Regions from separate parts of the Mus musculus genome. Here regions 2 and 3 are each reported to be linked to region 1. The links are microRNA targets in miRTarBase. Many come from high-throughput screens and were not tested one by one. Region 1 holds a microRNA gene; each other region holds the end of a gene's coding sequence.
What was found. The annotated mature microRNA mmu-miR-450b-5p reads UUUUGCAGUAUGUUCCUGAAUA and lies in region 1 at 2,864-2,885, opposite strand. An mRNA with a match to its seed (bases 2 to 7 or 8) in the 3' UTR can be bound and repressed. Matches are read on the target gene's strand: a 7mer-m8 pairs with bases 2 to 8, a 7mer-A1 pairs with bases 2 to 7 and ends in A, and an 8mer does both.

Region 1 (5,341 bases):
AAACTGCTGTAAATTTATCTCTCACTACTGAATCAAGTCTGCATTCTGGGAATTCGTGCCATCGTTTTCTGGGGGCATTTTGCACTCCCCACTCCCCAAGATACAGTTCCACCCTCAGGGTATAGCCCAGCCCGAATTTGGAAACTGGATTTGTCCTTGACAGGTTCCTCCAGACGCTCCTGACTGCTCTGTGACAGAAGCCATCTGTTCCTGCCTCTGCCTGTGCCCCTGTCATCTTCCTCTGCTTGAAATTCACTCCCTCATTTTCTCTGGCCCTTCCAGCCCCACCCACCTTTGAAGGTGTTCCTCAAGTCCCACATGCCTCCCACTGTCTTCTAAAGTCACCCCTGTCTGTCCTTTAGGTCCAGTGTATTATAGTAGAAAAAGGCCTGTAGATCAAGACTCAAGTTGGCCACCAGTTCTTTGCAAGACTTAGCTGGGAGTTATTTCCTCTCCCTGCAACTGCATTTCCTCTTCTGAGCACCGAGGGAGGACTGGTTTGTTAGAAAGGGAAACCCTCCCCCCTTCTGCACCACCCCCACTCCGGGGGCCGCTTGGCATCCTCCCAACTAAGAGGCATGCTGTCTCCATCCGCCACATTCTAGGATATTCTGATTCGGAAATGCAAGTCTCCACTTTAGTCCACTGCTAAATGAGAGAGCCTGGAGCTCAGTGATTAAATTGATGGAGTTATTACTTTCTCCGCCCCAGAGGTGAGACTTCCCATTTCAGGAAGGGTCCCACCTTGGCTCTTCTCCCTTTTCATAATCCTTGCCTAGCAAGGACCAGAGTGAGGTTTATGTGGAAGGAGGTCGCTTTCATCATTCAGGGTAGAAGGAAGTTTTCTGTGAGATTGGGCCTGGCATGGAAGAAGGTCACAAGACCCTGCCTATTTCTGCTTTCAACCATACAGAGCAAGGGATTTGTGCATCCAAAGTCTCTCTGGCTCCGGTTCATCTTAACTCCCACTTCTCTCCTATCCTCCCTTCCCAGGAAAAATGTTTCTAACTAAATGTGGCAGAGTCAAATGTTTATGAAAAACCCATTGCCAAGGATATGTCTGGCTGTGTGGTTGCTCTAAAGCAGACGGGTGGGGCGTGAGGCTCTGTGGGATGAATGATCTCCCAGTACCTTTGTGAATGACTGCATCTCTCCCACTGCACTAGGTCTGCTTGAGGGAATATACGGATTTTGCTACAGTGCTTTAGCTCTTGGGGGAGAGTTTTCCTGGAGTGTTTATAAATGGCTCAGAGTGGACTCTAGCTCCTCTTCTAATGTGTCAAATCTGAGAAACATTAATAAAGCCTTTAGGAGGGGATAGCAAGATGGCTCAGTGGGTAATGGAGCTTGCCCCTTAGCTAAGGGACCTGAGTTCAATCCCAGGAATCTACATGGTGGAAGGAGGAAACTGACTCCCACACGTCCTGTGATGTCCACAAGTGAGTCAGAGTGCACATAGCCCTCCACCTCACATACCCACAAATGCCAATAAAATGGCACAACAGTAACAAAATCCCAAGAAACCAAAAATACTCCTGAGAGGAACCAGTCAAACCATGGTTGTACTAAGTCCCCAGATATAGTTCCATCTCTCTTACTAAGAAAGAAGAGGGAAAGCTGAACTGGGAGGTCTCCTGTACTCAAAGGAACATCCAGGGATTTAGATGGATGGACAGTAGATGGGGAACTACAGCCAGTTGCTGGCATCTGTCATTCATGAGTGGGCCTTCTGGAAGGTCTTTCCCTGGCTCAGGCATTTCCCAAACTAGCCAGTGTGTCTTGAGGCCAGGAGCAATCATCCAAGTGCCACCTTCCTGAATTGCTCCTGGGAGAAAATAAGCCCCTTTCAACTCTCTCTGTGTTTAGAGTGTTTGATTAGATAAGAGCCATCGGTCTGCTTAGCAGTCACTGGTATTACTCTGTGTGGACCCAGAGGTTTGAGAGAGGCTCTCACTACAGAGTGAGAGCAAACACCCTCCCCCAGCTCCTGGAGCTCTGATTACAAGGCTTGAGCTACCACACCTGGCCGTTACAGTTGTGTTTTTATTTTATTTCTTTCTTTTAGTGTGTGATGTTTGTGTGTGTAAATGTGTTTTTATACTTGGACATGTGTGTGAATGCATAGAGGCCAGGAGTCAACCTCAGATATCATTCCGCAAGAGATCCCCACCTTGGTTTTTTGAGACAAGGTCTCTCACTGGGACCTGGGGCTCCCCAATTCAGTTAGATTCCTAAGGATCTACCTCCCGAAAACTCAAATATAATTATCAGTTTTTAAAAAGTGTATTTGAGTCTTTTGCGCACATGTACGTATGAAGGGCAGACCTTATGGTGGTCCTGTAGGCTTTTCCTAGACAAGTTGGAAAGTGTGGTCTAGGCCAACCACTGCCTGCATAGAAATCTTTCTCTATACATGGGTCAGGGTTTCACGATTAAAAAAAAAAAAAAATCAGTGTAAAGCCAAGTATGTGGCACTTGCCATTAATTCCAGCACTCTGGGAGGCAGAGGCAGGCAACTAGTTCTCTATGAGAGTGAGGCCAGCCTCACTATATACTGAGGCTATAGCCACAGTTAATTACATTAGGTGACCTTGTTTCAAGTCCCACCCCACCCTCCAAAATCAATGTAGACTCTAGTACTAAAATAAAATAAGTTTATTCTTTTGCTATAAAAGAAAAACATTTTGTTTACACAATAATTGGTAAAAAAAAACAATAAAAATATAAAGACAACAATAAACATCACCTGTAATACCAGAGACATAAGTTCTGTTCAAGTTTTGTCATGTTTCTTCCTAGTCTTCCCCCCATATATTGATACAAAATTATGCATGCAAAATGTTCCCAATACGCTTATGTTATGTATTCAGGAACATACTGCAAAAATAATTCTGTATCTGATTCCTATTATAAAAACAAACCATAAACAACTATGGTTAGACTTGCAGCTTCTTTCTTCCAACCTTTTGCCTGTGTATTGACACAAAGCTATTTATGCAAAATGTTCCCAATATAATTATAGCACATATTAGGAACACATCGCAAAAACAGCTCAGTATCTCTCTTTGGTCACTGGTGGTGCTACAGCTTGGAGGTGACTGTCCATATGATGGATGCAGAACCATGAATGCAAAGCATCCCCAATATACTCATAGTACATATTAGGAACACATCGCAAAAATAGTTCAGCATCTTGGTTTGCCTTTCTCCTTCCTCTATCATTCAACCACAGCATCAGTCCCCAGCATATTTGTTCAATAACATTAAAGCACAACTCAGGATAACTATAATATTTTGATCTGTTCTCTTAGCCTTATATCTGTATATTGATCCCATGTATGTAAAATTAAAACGGAGAAGAAAATATTTTGCATGTTTATCATTAAACGCTTTTTATTAGTGTTTGTGGCACATCTTTATGTCACAAAAATTATTTTCAGAAATATCAATCTTAATGATAGCATCCTATCACATTGTCTTAGAAGAGCATATTTTATTTATGCAACCCTTTACTATTAATAAGTCATTTTATCCTCAAAATGACTGAAGTGAAGGGAGGTGGTAACCCCAGTGACATAGATGGTGAGGCAAATGAGCCACAGATGCAGATTCCTCCTGGCAGGCCTAGAGAGTGATTTAAAGCCAGCATGAGCAAGTTAGTGAGGCCTAGTCTCAAAAAAAAAAAAAAAAAAAAGAATTGCAAGCAGGTATGATGGCATACACTTATAATGCCAGCCCTTGGGAGGGGGAATTAGGAGGGGAAGGAATTCAACATGAGCCTCTGCTACACAAGTTTGAGTCTGGGTAACATAAGATCTTGCCTCAAAAATAAATAAATAAATAAATAAATAGTAATAAACATCCTGATGTTTTTTCATTTTCCGTGACTTTCCGTGGCTTGTATATTTATCTTCATGGCTATTTATATGACTCCACATTTTTAAGGTAACCTGTTTTTCTAAAGCTTACAGCTAATGTTTTTCTTGTTTGAGGAAAAACATAGTTTTAATATTTTAGCCTATATATAAAACCATATGTCCTGTCTAGGCTTCAGTGGACTGAATAGAAATGCAAATTAATAAAACCCTTCTCATTCTATAAAAACACAACCCATACCCTCCCCCACTCCATGGCAACCCCTTTCCTCCTTGCCTAGGGCTCAGTCCTCTCCTGACCTCTCATCTCTGTAATACTCACCCCACCAATTCTTAGGAAGAGGAGTGGCTCCCAGACCTTTCAGTTATCAATCTGTCACAAGGGCACAGTGGTATCTCGTGACATGATGATCCCCGAGACGTCTGAGATCCCTGCATGTGTAACCTCAAATTTCTGGATCTCCCAGTACCCTTAAAGACCTTTTAGCGAGTAGCATTTCACAATGGGACACAAATCAAAGCACAACAAAACAAAGAAACAGCAAAACTGTGAAGATGGGGAAAAAAAAACAAAACAAATAAGCAGCTAACCAACCTACTACAAATTCTGTTTTTAAAAAGTCTCTTTGTTTTGCAGTTTCTTTCCAGTTTCTACTCTACTTTCAGCCACCAGAGTTAGTGTAATTCTGTGGCCTTGATTTTTAAAAGCTTGTTATCTTAAGAATGTTTCTAAGTTTCTAGGTAGTTTTTATGATTATTCACAATGACTAAAAACGTTCTTTTGAGGATGCCACTAAATTAATCTCTATGGTTAGTTCATATTTGCTCCCTTAATTTACTTGAGTCTATAGAAAGGATCAAAGCTTTAAAGTGAATTCACTTTACAATTTTTAAGCTTGTACACATTGAATCATGCATGGGTAGGTGACTTACAGTCATTACTTAATCATGAAGTCAATCTTGAGCCTCAGTTAGGAAGTGTCCAGCAGTTAGACTCTCACTCGTCCTTCTTAGGACTAGACAGTTTCAACTAGACCTTTTCTAACCAAACACACTAGTTCAGCTCCATTTTCTGTCCTAATCACTATGGTGTAAGCTTCTGATGGCCAGGCAGGAATGTTACCTGGCACAGCATGAAGTCTGCATGATGCAGTTTCCCAGGTTTCATCTTCAGAATCCTCAGGTCTCTCGAAACTTTGTCTGCCTTACTTATCTCTCAAAGTTGTAAACAACAAATCTATGAAAGCAGTTGGGGCCGTAAGTGAACAGAGGAAATGAAGGCAAGTGCTGAGATGAGGATTGTAAAGATTTGGTTTCTAGGGCACAAACATTCTGCCTTCACTCTGCAGAGTGGAGGTGGGGGAGGGGTAGCAAAAGACCCGAAGGAAGGAGTCAGGCTGCAAAGCAAGCAGTATTCCCAGCCCCCAACAATGCCCCCGACTTGGAGCTGGGGAGGGGAGCGGGAG
Region 2 (5,341 bases), not on the chromosome of region 1:
GTGCAACTTAGGATTCAATATCAGCAAGGTACCCTTTGAAGGTAAAAGGGAAATAGAGCATTCGAAGCCAAAGCTAAAGGAGTTCACCACCAGCTACCCTGATCTGCAAGCTAAGTGAAAATGGAGTGCAGAAACTAGCCAGGCATGGCTGCACACCTTTAATCCCAGCACTCAGAAGGCAGAGGTAGGTGGATCTCTTGAGTTCAAAGTCCAGTCTGGTCTCCAGTTCCAGGACAGCAAGGGCTACACAGAGAAACCCTGTCTCAAAAAAAACCAAAGTCCAAACCAACCAAACAAAACATGAAACAAAAACCTTGTATCTTCATAAAGCACACCAGTACATAAAGATGAACACAGTCTTTGGATTCTTAATTTTCTACTTCTTAATTCTTTTTTTCTTTCTTTTTTTTCTTTTTAAAGATTACTTAATTTATGTTATGTAAGTACACTGTAGCTGTCTTCAGACAACCCAGAAGAGGGCATCAGATCTCATTATGAATGGTTGTGAGCCAAGATGTGGTTGCTGGGATTTGAACTCAGGACCTTTGGAAGAGCAGTCAGTGTTCTTCACCGCTGAACCATCTCTCCAGCCCTACTTCTTAATTCTTAATTGAGCTAAAAGATAACTGCTTGCTTAAGGGGATACTGGTAATGCTCTTGAGTGGTTGTGACCGTTGACTAAGTGAAACAACTCTCAGTGATGCTACCAAGGCATTCTGAGATTTGAAATAATCCTCCTGCCTCAACCTCAAGAGCAGATATCTGGGACTACAAGTACACATTATTATGCTGACAAAATATATATTTTTAAAGGAGGCATTAGCTGGTTTACTGAGATCAAATTTATTTGATGACAAGGGTCACATAAGTTCCTTCTAACCTGTACTCTGAAAGAGCTGACAATAAGCAGAATGCCAAGAGTTCTACTTTCTTTAAGTAAGGTCCCTGACCACAGGGAAAGATAAAGGTTCTTAAGTGATTTGCATAGCATACAAATCTGGAGTGAATTCAAAACCTTGTTGACTTTCTGTATAATGGGGGTGGGTGTCAACTTTCAGTAGCATAAATTCTTGTTTTATGTGGTTCTAAGCCAGCTTGTGAAACATCAAACTGATCAAGCCTGGTATGTGCTTCAGACACAAATAAAACACATGATTTGTAGCAAACTGGTGAAATTCCCTTGCGCCTCCTGTGACACAGGCCATTTTAACAGTCCTGAACTTACTCTGACTCCCATAGGCAGAGGTTTCTCCCACTGCAGAGGTTGCTCCCACATTCAGTATACCTTACAGCACTGCCTGGGACTCCTCTTACTACCTATGTGCCTCTGGTCTTAGTCACTGGCTGGTTTACTCATAAAATGGGGACAGTTGTGGTTAGATGAGGGTTACCAAGATAACACATGTAGCATGCTTAACTCACAAGTAAAATAACTGTAGCAGTTTTCTAGGGATTCAGCTCATCAAACAGGGCAGAAACTGCAGGTGGTTATCCTGTCTTTATCCTGTACTGTTGCCTTCAGGATACAACATTGCTCTTTGTGTTCCTTGGGATTTGCAGCAGGTAGATGCAAATTAAGCCTGTTTGAAGATGAGAAATAGCACGCGCTCTCTCTCATTTGTGTTCCTAGATTTTGTAGTCACATAGAATCATATATGTGTATAAAAATGAAACAACTGTCTAGGGGAACAAACGGCCTTAATAGAGGAAACAGGGGTGTACTGCTCAATAAACAGTATATACTTGTATAAACCACACAAGGTAATTTCCTGGCACATACAAGGCAAATAAACTCCTAAGTATGCATTTTTAACATAATCATTTTAAGTTTCAGCAGGCATAATGGCAGGCATACTCCTTTCTGTTATTTTGGAGGCTGGAGCAAAAGTGTCTTACATGCTTGAAGCCTCCATGAGATACAGTTAGTACAAGGTCAGCATGGGCAACTTCAGGCCCTATAACAAAACAAAAATTACAAGAGAGGCCAGGGAAGGAAGGAGTGGTGTGTACCTGTGACACCAGTGCTTGGAAATTGCGGGGAAGATGGATTAGGAGTTCAAGACCAACCTGGGTTACATGAAACCCTCGTCTTAGAAATGGTGGTGGGTAGGGCAGGGAACAGCTACTGGTGTATTATTTCCAAGGGCCTGGCTCAGGCTTCAACCAGAGCAGTTCTCAACCTGTGCAGGGACATCCTGTGTGTCAGATATTTACGATTCCTATCAGTCGCAAAATTACAATTATGAAGCAGCAACAAAATAATTTTCTGGTGGGGGGTCACCACAGCATGAGGAACTGCATTAAAGCGTTGCAGCATTAAGAACCACTCCTTTACCACAACAAAAACCCTGAGGGTGGGGTAAGAGCCCGTTTCTAACATGTGTTGGTAATTCATATCGATATCCATCCTGCTTCCTTTTCAGTACATAGCATCTGGCTAACACCAACCCCAGGGAGGTGAGGATGGGCCAGGTGGGGCATTTTGATAGGTTTGCTGGAAGACTTCATCACATAGGCCTGGGAGGCACAGTCTCCGAACTCCCCGCTGTCAGGCGCTACTGGCTCCACTCCTGCCTCTCCGGGGCTACCCTTTGACAGACAAGAAGCCACTTCTCTTAAGCCCTTCCTTGCTTTAAATCGAGGATTAGTACCATCTTTATCTGTGAAGAGTTTGCTGAGCCATGAACTGTCCACATGGCGCACTTCAGGTCCTTTCAGACCCTCCCCAGCCCTCCATTGGAAAGGCTACACTGTTTCCATTACAGAGAAAAAGTGAGCGATTTGGTTGAGAACTGGAGAATTCAGTTATTGGCAGAATTCAGTGGTAACAGCTTGGTTTTCACTTATCTGTGGCTCCTTTTACATACTGGAAAACAAAAACATGCAGGGGTGTTTTGATAATTAAAATACATTGTAAAAGTCCTGCATGGAGAGGTAGATGATTAATAAAGACTTGGGCCAAGCAAGCTCTAAAGAGATCCGGGGCTTGGTTTCCTACATTGATTTAACAGCTTCCTGACTTATGTGAAGATGAACACAATATAATAGCCACATACTTTCAGTATAAGTTTTTATTAAAAAGTGCATTTTGATTAATTTATGATTTAGGTAAGTTGTAAGATATCAGTATACTCTCTGGAATAATAACTTTACAAAGATTTAAAACAAACAAAAATTTAAAAGCCTTTTTATTTCCTTCACCATTATTGTTTTACAATACAAATATCACCTTGTGAGTACACACACACACACACACACACACACACACACACTCACTCATACATGAACACGCACACACACTTGTGCATGTGCACACACACAAAAAAACCTACAGAAGGTAATCCTGCTGCACATAAAATACAGAATGGATATTATATTTATATTTATATATATATACTTCTTCGCTCTTAGAAAACTATTTTGTTCTCCACGTTGGCAAGTATAGAGTAGAATACTTCCCCAAACATATGTATGTCAGGAGGAAAACTCAGAATTACATGCAGTTTCTGCACAAATATATTTTAAAGAAATAGATCTTTTTGTTGTTGTTCACCAACAAAACTGTCATGAGAGTATGGATAACTAGTTTATAGCTTTCAAGTTTTAGGTAAGTGATCATTTTCGAAACTCTCTTTAAAAAAAGATATTCATGGCTGTTTTTATTGAGTAGTTAAAACCAAACTACCAAACAGATGGCATAATCTCAGCGGCACCTGGCAGTGCGGCCTGCTCACAATATGTGAATGGGTGCGTACTCTAATTCACACCCTCTATTCTTCAGTTCAAAACAATTTTAAAACCACTAGCAGTCTTCTGATTTAATTTAGCTATAAATGTAAAATTTAGTAGTGTATACATACATTTATATTTTCATGGAATAAATAAAAACATTTAAGATTGCCTACCAACCGACCATACAATCAAGACAAGAAAGGCACTAGAAACATAGACAAATTTCTCTCCCAAGAAGCACTTTTAAATGTTAACTCTCTTTTCTGTGACATGTAAAAATCTTTAAATTTGGTTTTCATAACATCATTTTGAAAAATAAAGTTAGGAAATACTTAGAAAAATCACTTTATAACAGATTTTTTTTTTTGCACTTTTTGATACACCGTCTCTGCTGACTGTATAAAACCCCAGGCGAGCAAACCTCTCTGGACCTATCGTCTTCAGCCGAGCATCAGTGCAATAGGCAGAGAGATTCTAAATCAACTCCCATGCAGACACTTAGGACCCTTCATAGAGACATTTACTAGAAAATGGCTTACAGCCCTGTCTTTGGGGCAAGAGATATGAAAAGTATGTTTTCCCAAGAAAATAACACACTTTATTTCCAGATATGGCTGGAAAGGCCGGAGCTTAGGATACAGAAGCACACGGTGGTGCGGCTGAATGACACAGAGGGACACGGTGGCTGCCTGTTATAGAAGCCCCAAGCTTAACAACAGGAAATGTCTACAGTGCATGATGTGGGAACTTTTCTTTATTGTTGTCCAACGCGGGTCCTTTGGAGAGAAAAAAAAAGATCACAGTGCTGAGCAGGTAACGCAATAGGTTAAGTCAAGGTAACTTGAGAGATAGCAGGGGGAGGTGGTTACTTTATGGCATCTTCTGTCATGGAGTTCTTAGCACTTCGGACTGTTCTTCATTCCCTAGTCGGCAGAGCTGTTATGTGTCGTTTACCAGCCGGCTATATTTAACTTGCCTACTAAGGTGGACTACCGGCCAGGGGAAGGGCCAATGGTAAGATCGAGGTACAATTCCTTGGACATTCTTTTCAAAGTACTGAAATGGCCTGTACCACCACACCCTGGCCAGGAGGTTCATCTGGGAGGCTTCCTTAAGCACCTAGGAAAGCAAAGAACATACACATTTGTTTGTTTGTTTTTCAATCTTACTGTCTTCCCTTTAAAATATTTCCCATGTTAAAATTCAAAGGATCCCAGACTTGCTCCACACCCACCCACACAGCCGGGCTTCACTCTGAGTTCACCACACTATACCCTGGACACGTCAGATTCCAGGAGAGCAAGGGAAACTGAGACGCCCTCAATTTGTACCTACTAAATATCTCAGTCAGCCCTTTCTTCACTCTCCTTGGATCTTAACTTCCTGTGCTCCTATATAATAAATGTATATTTATAAATGTTATAATAATATAACATATATAAATATAATAGATAAAATATATTTAATACCTTAGTTAAACGTAACTATGAAACTAGTGATGGGCCCATCACAACCAAAGGTTAGGAATGCACCGTAAGTGCGGATACCATCTTGGAGATTATTTTTTTCACAGATAGTAAGCACATACGTTTCAGAAGAAAGTGGTATC
Region 3 (5,341 bases), not on the chromosome of region 1:
CTTATGTAGGTCTCCAGCAGGTGTGGCCCAGATTAAAGGTGTGTACCACCACACCTGGATCTGGGACTTGCTTTGTCCCAAGCTGAACTTAGAGACCTCCATGCCTCCTACTTTGCCTGGGCCTAAGCTTTTCATGGCCACTGTGCCGCAAGAGCTCCATGCCAAGATCCAGGTCAGAAACTTGTGTCTTCCAGCCTCAAGATCTGAATCACAGGTGAGCCTTGTAATTCACTCCAGAGATAGTCAAGTTGACAATCAGGAATAGCCACTACAGACACAACAGCAAAATTAGTTATGAAGTAGCACTGAAAATAATCTTATAGTTGGGAGGAACTGTACTACAGGGTCACAGCATTAGGAAGGTTGAGGACTACTGTGATAAAGGGTTTGCCATTTTCCCACAATCCCACTTTATATACAACATTATGACAATCCAGGTGGCTAGAGAGCCATCCAGCCCTGGCATTGTGTACTGGACCTTGGCTAAAGAACTTCCAACAGGCTAGGGCTAAAGACATGGCTCTCCACAGTTAAGAACCCTTACTATACAATCATAAACCTGGAGTTTGAATTCCATTTAACATGCCAGGAGTCTGGAGTGGAATTGTGTTTTTGAGATAGGTTCTCACTCTGTAGCCCTAGCTGACACTCCAACAATTTTGTAAACCAGGCTGGCCTTGAGTTTTCAAAGTTCTGCCTGTCTGTGCATCTTCTAAGTGGTGGTTTTTACAGGCATGAGACACCTGTCCTGGTGTTTGCCTGCATGTATATCAGTATATTGTGTGCAGTCTCTAAGAAAGCTACAAGAGTGTGTCAGATCCCCTGGAACTAGAATTACAGATGGTTATGTGGGTGCTGAAAACCAAATCCAGATCCTCAGTAAGAAATGCTCTTAACCATTGAGCCATTTCTCCAGTGTAGATGACTATTGCTTTACTCTATAGCCAAATTCACAGCAGTCATTCTGCCGGAGATTACAGGCATGTGCCACTAATCAACGTTTTTTTGGGGGGTGGGGGGGAGCAGGGATGGGGATGGGGCATAAGATTTCATTTTGCAGTTCATCCTGGCTTTGAACTCTTGTCCATCTTCCTGTCCCCCAAATCATGGTGTTACAGACCTGAGCTACCATGTCTAGGTTTGGAAAGAGCTTTAAAAGTATCTAATCACCCCTACTTTCACCAAGAATTAGCACCGTTAACCTCAGAGAATAAAGGACAACTTCATACCACATATTTAAGCACCTCTAATCTCAAATGATAGGAATCTTTAAGGTTTTATCACACCACTTATTTTGTGTGTCTGTGCCAGACCACATATATAGAGGCAGAGGACAGCGTGGTTCTCCTTCAACTATATTGTGTTGCAAGGTGAAAAGGTCATTTGGTGGCAACATCCTTCATGGGCTGAGCCATCTCACCTATAGTTTTTGATATTCTGCTTTTTAAGAAACAGTCTCTCACTGTAGCCCTCCCATGTTGGGATTGAAGGATGGCTCTATCCTACCTAGCTCATAGGAATCTTTTAACAGGTACTCTCACTGGGATGGGTTTATTTCCCATCTCTTTATTCCCATCAGTTGTGAGGCAGAGGCAGACAAATCTCTTATGAGGACATCAAACAAAATAATGGAAAATCTGTTTCCAGTAACTCAAGTCAGGTGGTCACACAGAGGCAGAAGACAGTTTTTGTCCATTATGATTTATTCTCTACAATACTTCATTCAGGACTCTTGATGACGTGTACTCAGAAGTTATATAGCCACGAGGCAACCAAGTGTAATACAAGTAATTGGTCTGAAGTCTTTGCAGTGAAGGCCATACAATCTCTTCGGGGAAACAAACAAAACAAAACAAAACAAAAAAAACACACAAAAACAGTTTTCTAGGCTTCAGAAATCAATGGAAAGTAACACTATTAGTGAAATTGTAGATGTTAACATAGCATGGAAAACAGATTTTGCTCAAAATATTAAAATTAACACCCAAGACTTTTGTATAGATGATTTATTATAAACAGTAAAATATACGTAATGTCTCAACTACAAACCCTTTTTCATGTGTACAGGGTTTCTAACATGAGTTATTTTAACATTAGGAAGCAAAAACATTTTAAGAACCTCACAGTGGAAACAACCCAACACTAACAAACTCTAATGATCAAAGACATTCGCTTTTAGCTCAGGAAAACAAGGACAATTCATAATTACAGAGTATATGTCCTAGCTGTGGGTATGATGAGACAAGCCAACTTTCCAGACCAAAAGGCACTCACAGCTAGGGATGAAACAAATTCCAAACCAAGCCAGCAGTTTAGCTGGCTCTCTGAGAGCAGTGGGGACCTTGCAGCCTATAGCTAAAGGAAACCCAGGGCAGGAAACGGTCCCTTTCCACTACCACTAACTGGCCACCCTTATCACTGCTTTGGTCAACGTATGGAAGGCAGCTCAGTTCTAATTCAGAGCTTGACCTCCCTATGCAAAGCCCCCAAGTGGACAATCCACAATTGCTTTTTCCTGAGAGCTATCTGCCACATGTTCCCATGAGGTGACCAAGACTGTACTTCAACTTGTGAATGCCTATGCTCAAGTCAGGACTGACACCAATAGAGCCCATGTCTTTTGGGGCAAATAATTTTCCTTGCTGATTTCCAGGTCTCCTTGACAAGGCAGGAGGAACTTGAGCATTTGCACTGCAGAACTGCATTGGGAGCACGAGGGAATGTGCAGGAGTAAGGCGACTTCACTCTGAAACCACTGAGCCCACTTCAGTGTGATGCTGGGCCTTGCTAGCTGGATTCTTGTTTACCGATTCCCCAACCCCACCTTTCTGGGTCTTTCTGTCATTTTCTTAAATGGCAAGTATTCTACCCCACCCTCAATAAAACAAAACACACACTATACATTGGGAAAGACAAGATAGGGCAACATTTCTACAAGAAAAACAGGCTTGAGGAGCATGGCACTGTAGATGCTTGCATGACCAGTCTCACTGAGTGCTCAGGGGTGAAGTTTAGCACCATTTTTTTTTTTTTTTTGCATTTTGCTTTAAATCTTTAGAAATTAAACAACTCTTAACATAGAACGCTTGAACAGTAATGAGTGTAGCCCTATGTATCAATACTGTTTTACAAATTGGAAGTGGGTACCTCAGTCCAGAGCTGAGCACCCTGCATCAATCCATGGCACCTGAGAGCACCTGCTGTCACATGTCAATAACATAGCCTTCATTCCCCTCGGCAGGCAGCATGAGACCCCTTCATCCTAGGTATGTGAAGGAACCCACCCTGGCAGTAAGGGCCATGCATCCTGGGCATTCCAATGTCATCAGCACTTCCCTCATCCATTCCAGGTCTGTCATCACTCCTGGTACAACCTCTCTGCCCAGTTTTAAAACAAAACAAAACAAATGAAAACCGCAAGAACTTTGAAGTGATGCCTAGAATAGCACATATGGAAGTAGATCTACTTCCCTTCCTCCATTCCTGGCACAAGAAACTGATGAGCTAGGACTTGAATATTTGCCCATTTTGGAAAGCCACACCATCACCACATCAATCCTAAAAAAAGAAATCAAAACATATGTTCACCAGGTTGAGGCCACATCTGCCTCCCGAGTCTCTATGAATGTTGCTGAAAACCAGTGCGCCATCCTCAGGAGCCTTTCTTCCAGCCGGCCGTTTCCTTTGAGTTGCCTGAGCAGTCAGTGCCTTTGAGACAGAGCTGTCAAAGCACCTCCCTAGTTTCCTAGTACTACACGTTTTGCCACCAAATGAATGAAAAGAATTTGCTATCAGCTATTTTGGAATGAGTAAAGATGGGAGCGGGAATGTCAAGAGTTTAAATGAGCAACACGAACAGTTTGGACATTTGCACTGGTGAAGTGAGGAGTCCCAGTATGGTAGGCAAGTTAAAGGTTCACCTTGTTTTATTACACAGCATTGTTCTAGTCCTACTGAGGACTGATATAGCAAGTCTTCCTACTTCTGCAGGCAAATCAGAATAAAGAACTCCCCTACTTAAAGGTCCCTCAGGATGTTTGCCTGTGAAGAAAACCAGCTCAGAGACCCTGGAAGCTCTCCTGTGACAGTATGTCCTAAAGCCCAACCCAACCACCTGTTTACATGTCTGTGCTTCTGAGAACCTAGATGCAGCTACATAGGCACTGCTACCAGAAAAGAGTTGAGGTAGCCGGGTGGTGAGGAAGAGATCTCTCCTTTCACACCTGCTTACGACGATGACATTGGGACCTCTATAGGCATCTCCATTCCATTCCTCAGCAGGCTATGCCACAGAGCTCACAGCAGGAGACTCAATGCAGGAAGAGTACCAGAATGTCCACTGAGAGTCGGGTAAGCATGAAAACCTTCACAGCTTACTGTACGATGAAATGTCATCACAGGATTTCTGATCTTGGTTTGAGAATCTTATCCAGGACTCACAGGGGCTCATGGTGCCCATGTTCAACCCTAACATGGTGTTCACTTCTGAAGCATGGAGGTTGTGGATCAACTCTTGGTACACAATAAACTGGAAGTTTAAAAAAAGGAATTTAAAACAACCTAAAAGTGGTTCCTGTTGGTCTCCGTTGCCCAGACTGCCAGGGAGTACAGCTAATTGATGTGGCGGGCTGTGGGGGATTGGGGAAGAAGCCTCCATGGGTCACAGTCAATTCCAGTTTTCAGTGTGTGGCCAATACTTGTGGGAAATCACCAGACAACGGTCTTCTGAACCCACACAGCCATTCTCACTGGTTATTGGGGAGCCCTGATCCAACAGAACCCCAGATTGAGGAAAGGCTGATATAAGGCTTGGGCCCCTCATGTTCTGTTGCATTCAATGTATCCCCACACCCTCCAGTCAGCAGGAGGCAGACTTGGCAACGGAAGCTAGCATCATAAAATGGTGCAGTAATAGAAGTAACTGGACCAGGAAGAGGAGGCATCTGCTCCAATGATGTCATAGCCATTGGTGGCCACAGGGGGGTGGGACTGGTCATGTAGCCGTGTGTCAGGAGTAATGATTGTAGAGGGGCGGGGCATGAAGAGTGCCATTCTGGAAACAGTGCTGTCGAGAAGCAATATACTCTGCATAACTGATTGTCACCTTCTCACTTCGATACCTGTATGAGGAAACAGGCAAAGTGTTAAGAAGCCCAAATATCTCAGTGTCAAGAGTCACTCAGTAGAGAAAACTAAAGGCTTATCCCACAGTTCCAAAGAATAAAATGGAAGACCAAGAGCAATCTTACAGAAAATGAAAAGACGGCACAAGAAAATGACGTTGTTATTACAAATGGACACGATGAGAAAGCACAACCACAGTTCAGCCCTGAGAATGCAT

Region 2: miRTarBase lists Sgms1 as a target of mmu-miR-450b-5p. Seed matches in the 3' UTR shown: 7mer-A1 at 4,096-4,102.
Region 3: the mRNA of Ammecr1l is a reported target of mmu-miR-450b-5p. Seed matches in the 3' UTR shown: 7mer-A1 at 3,033-3,039 and 7mer-m8 at 1,805-1,811.

The regions. Positions count from the first base shown.
Region 1 is chrX:53,045,181-53,050,521 of GRCm38, forward strand. It overlaps Mir450b (microRNA 450b), which reads right to left and starts at 2,898; the gene lies at 2,817-2,898. It overlaps Mir450-1 (microRNA 450-1), which reads right to left and starts at 3,064; the gene lies at 2,974-3,064. Mir450-2 (microRNA 450-2) reads right to left here and starts at 3,187; the gene lies at 3,119-3,187. It overlaps Mir542 (microRNA 542), which reads right to left and starts at 4,307; the gene lies at 4,223-4,307.
Region 2 is chr19:32,119,674-32,125,014 of GRCm38, forward strand. Sgms1 (sphingomyelin synthase 1) reads right to left here. Exons shown (of 10, transcript NM_144792.5): 10 at 3,054-4,851. The coding sequence ends at 4,672. Among named protein-coding and RNA genes, the nearest start is that of Asah2, 19 kb to the left of the region's middle.
Region 3 is chr18:31,780,423-31,785,763 of GRCm38, reverse strand. Ammecr1l (AMME chromosomal region gene 1-like) reads right to left here. Exons shown (of 8, transcript NM_153515.4): 8 at 1,681-5,120. The coding sequence ends at 5,009. It overlaps Gm26533 (predicted gene, 26533), which reads left to right. Exons shown (of 3, transcript NR_165792.1): 2 at 10-214; 3 at 3,242-4,530. Among named protein-coding and RNA genes, the nearest start is that of Gm26533, 6.0 kb to the left of the region's middle.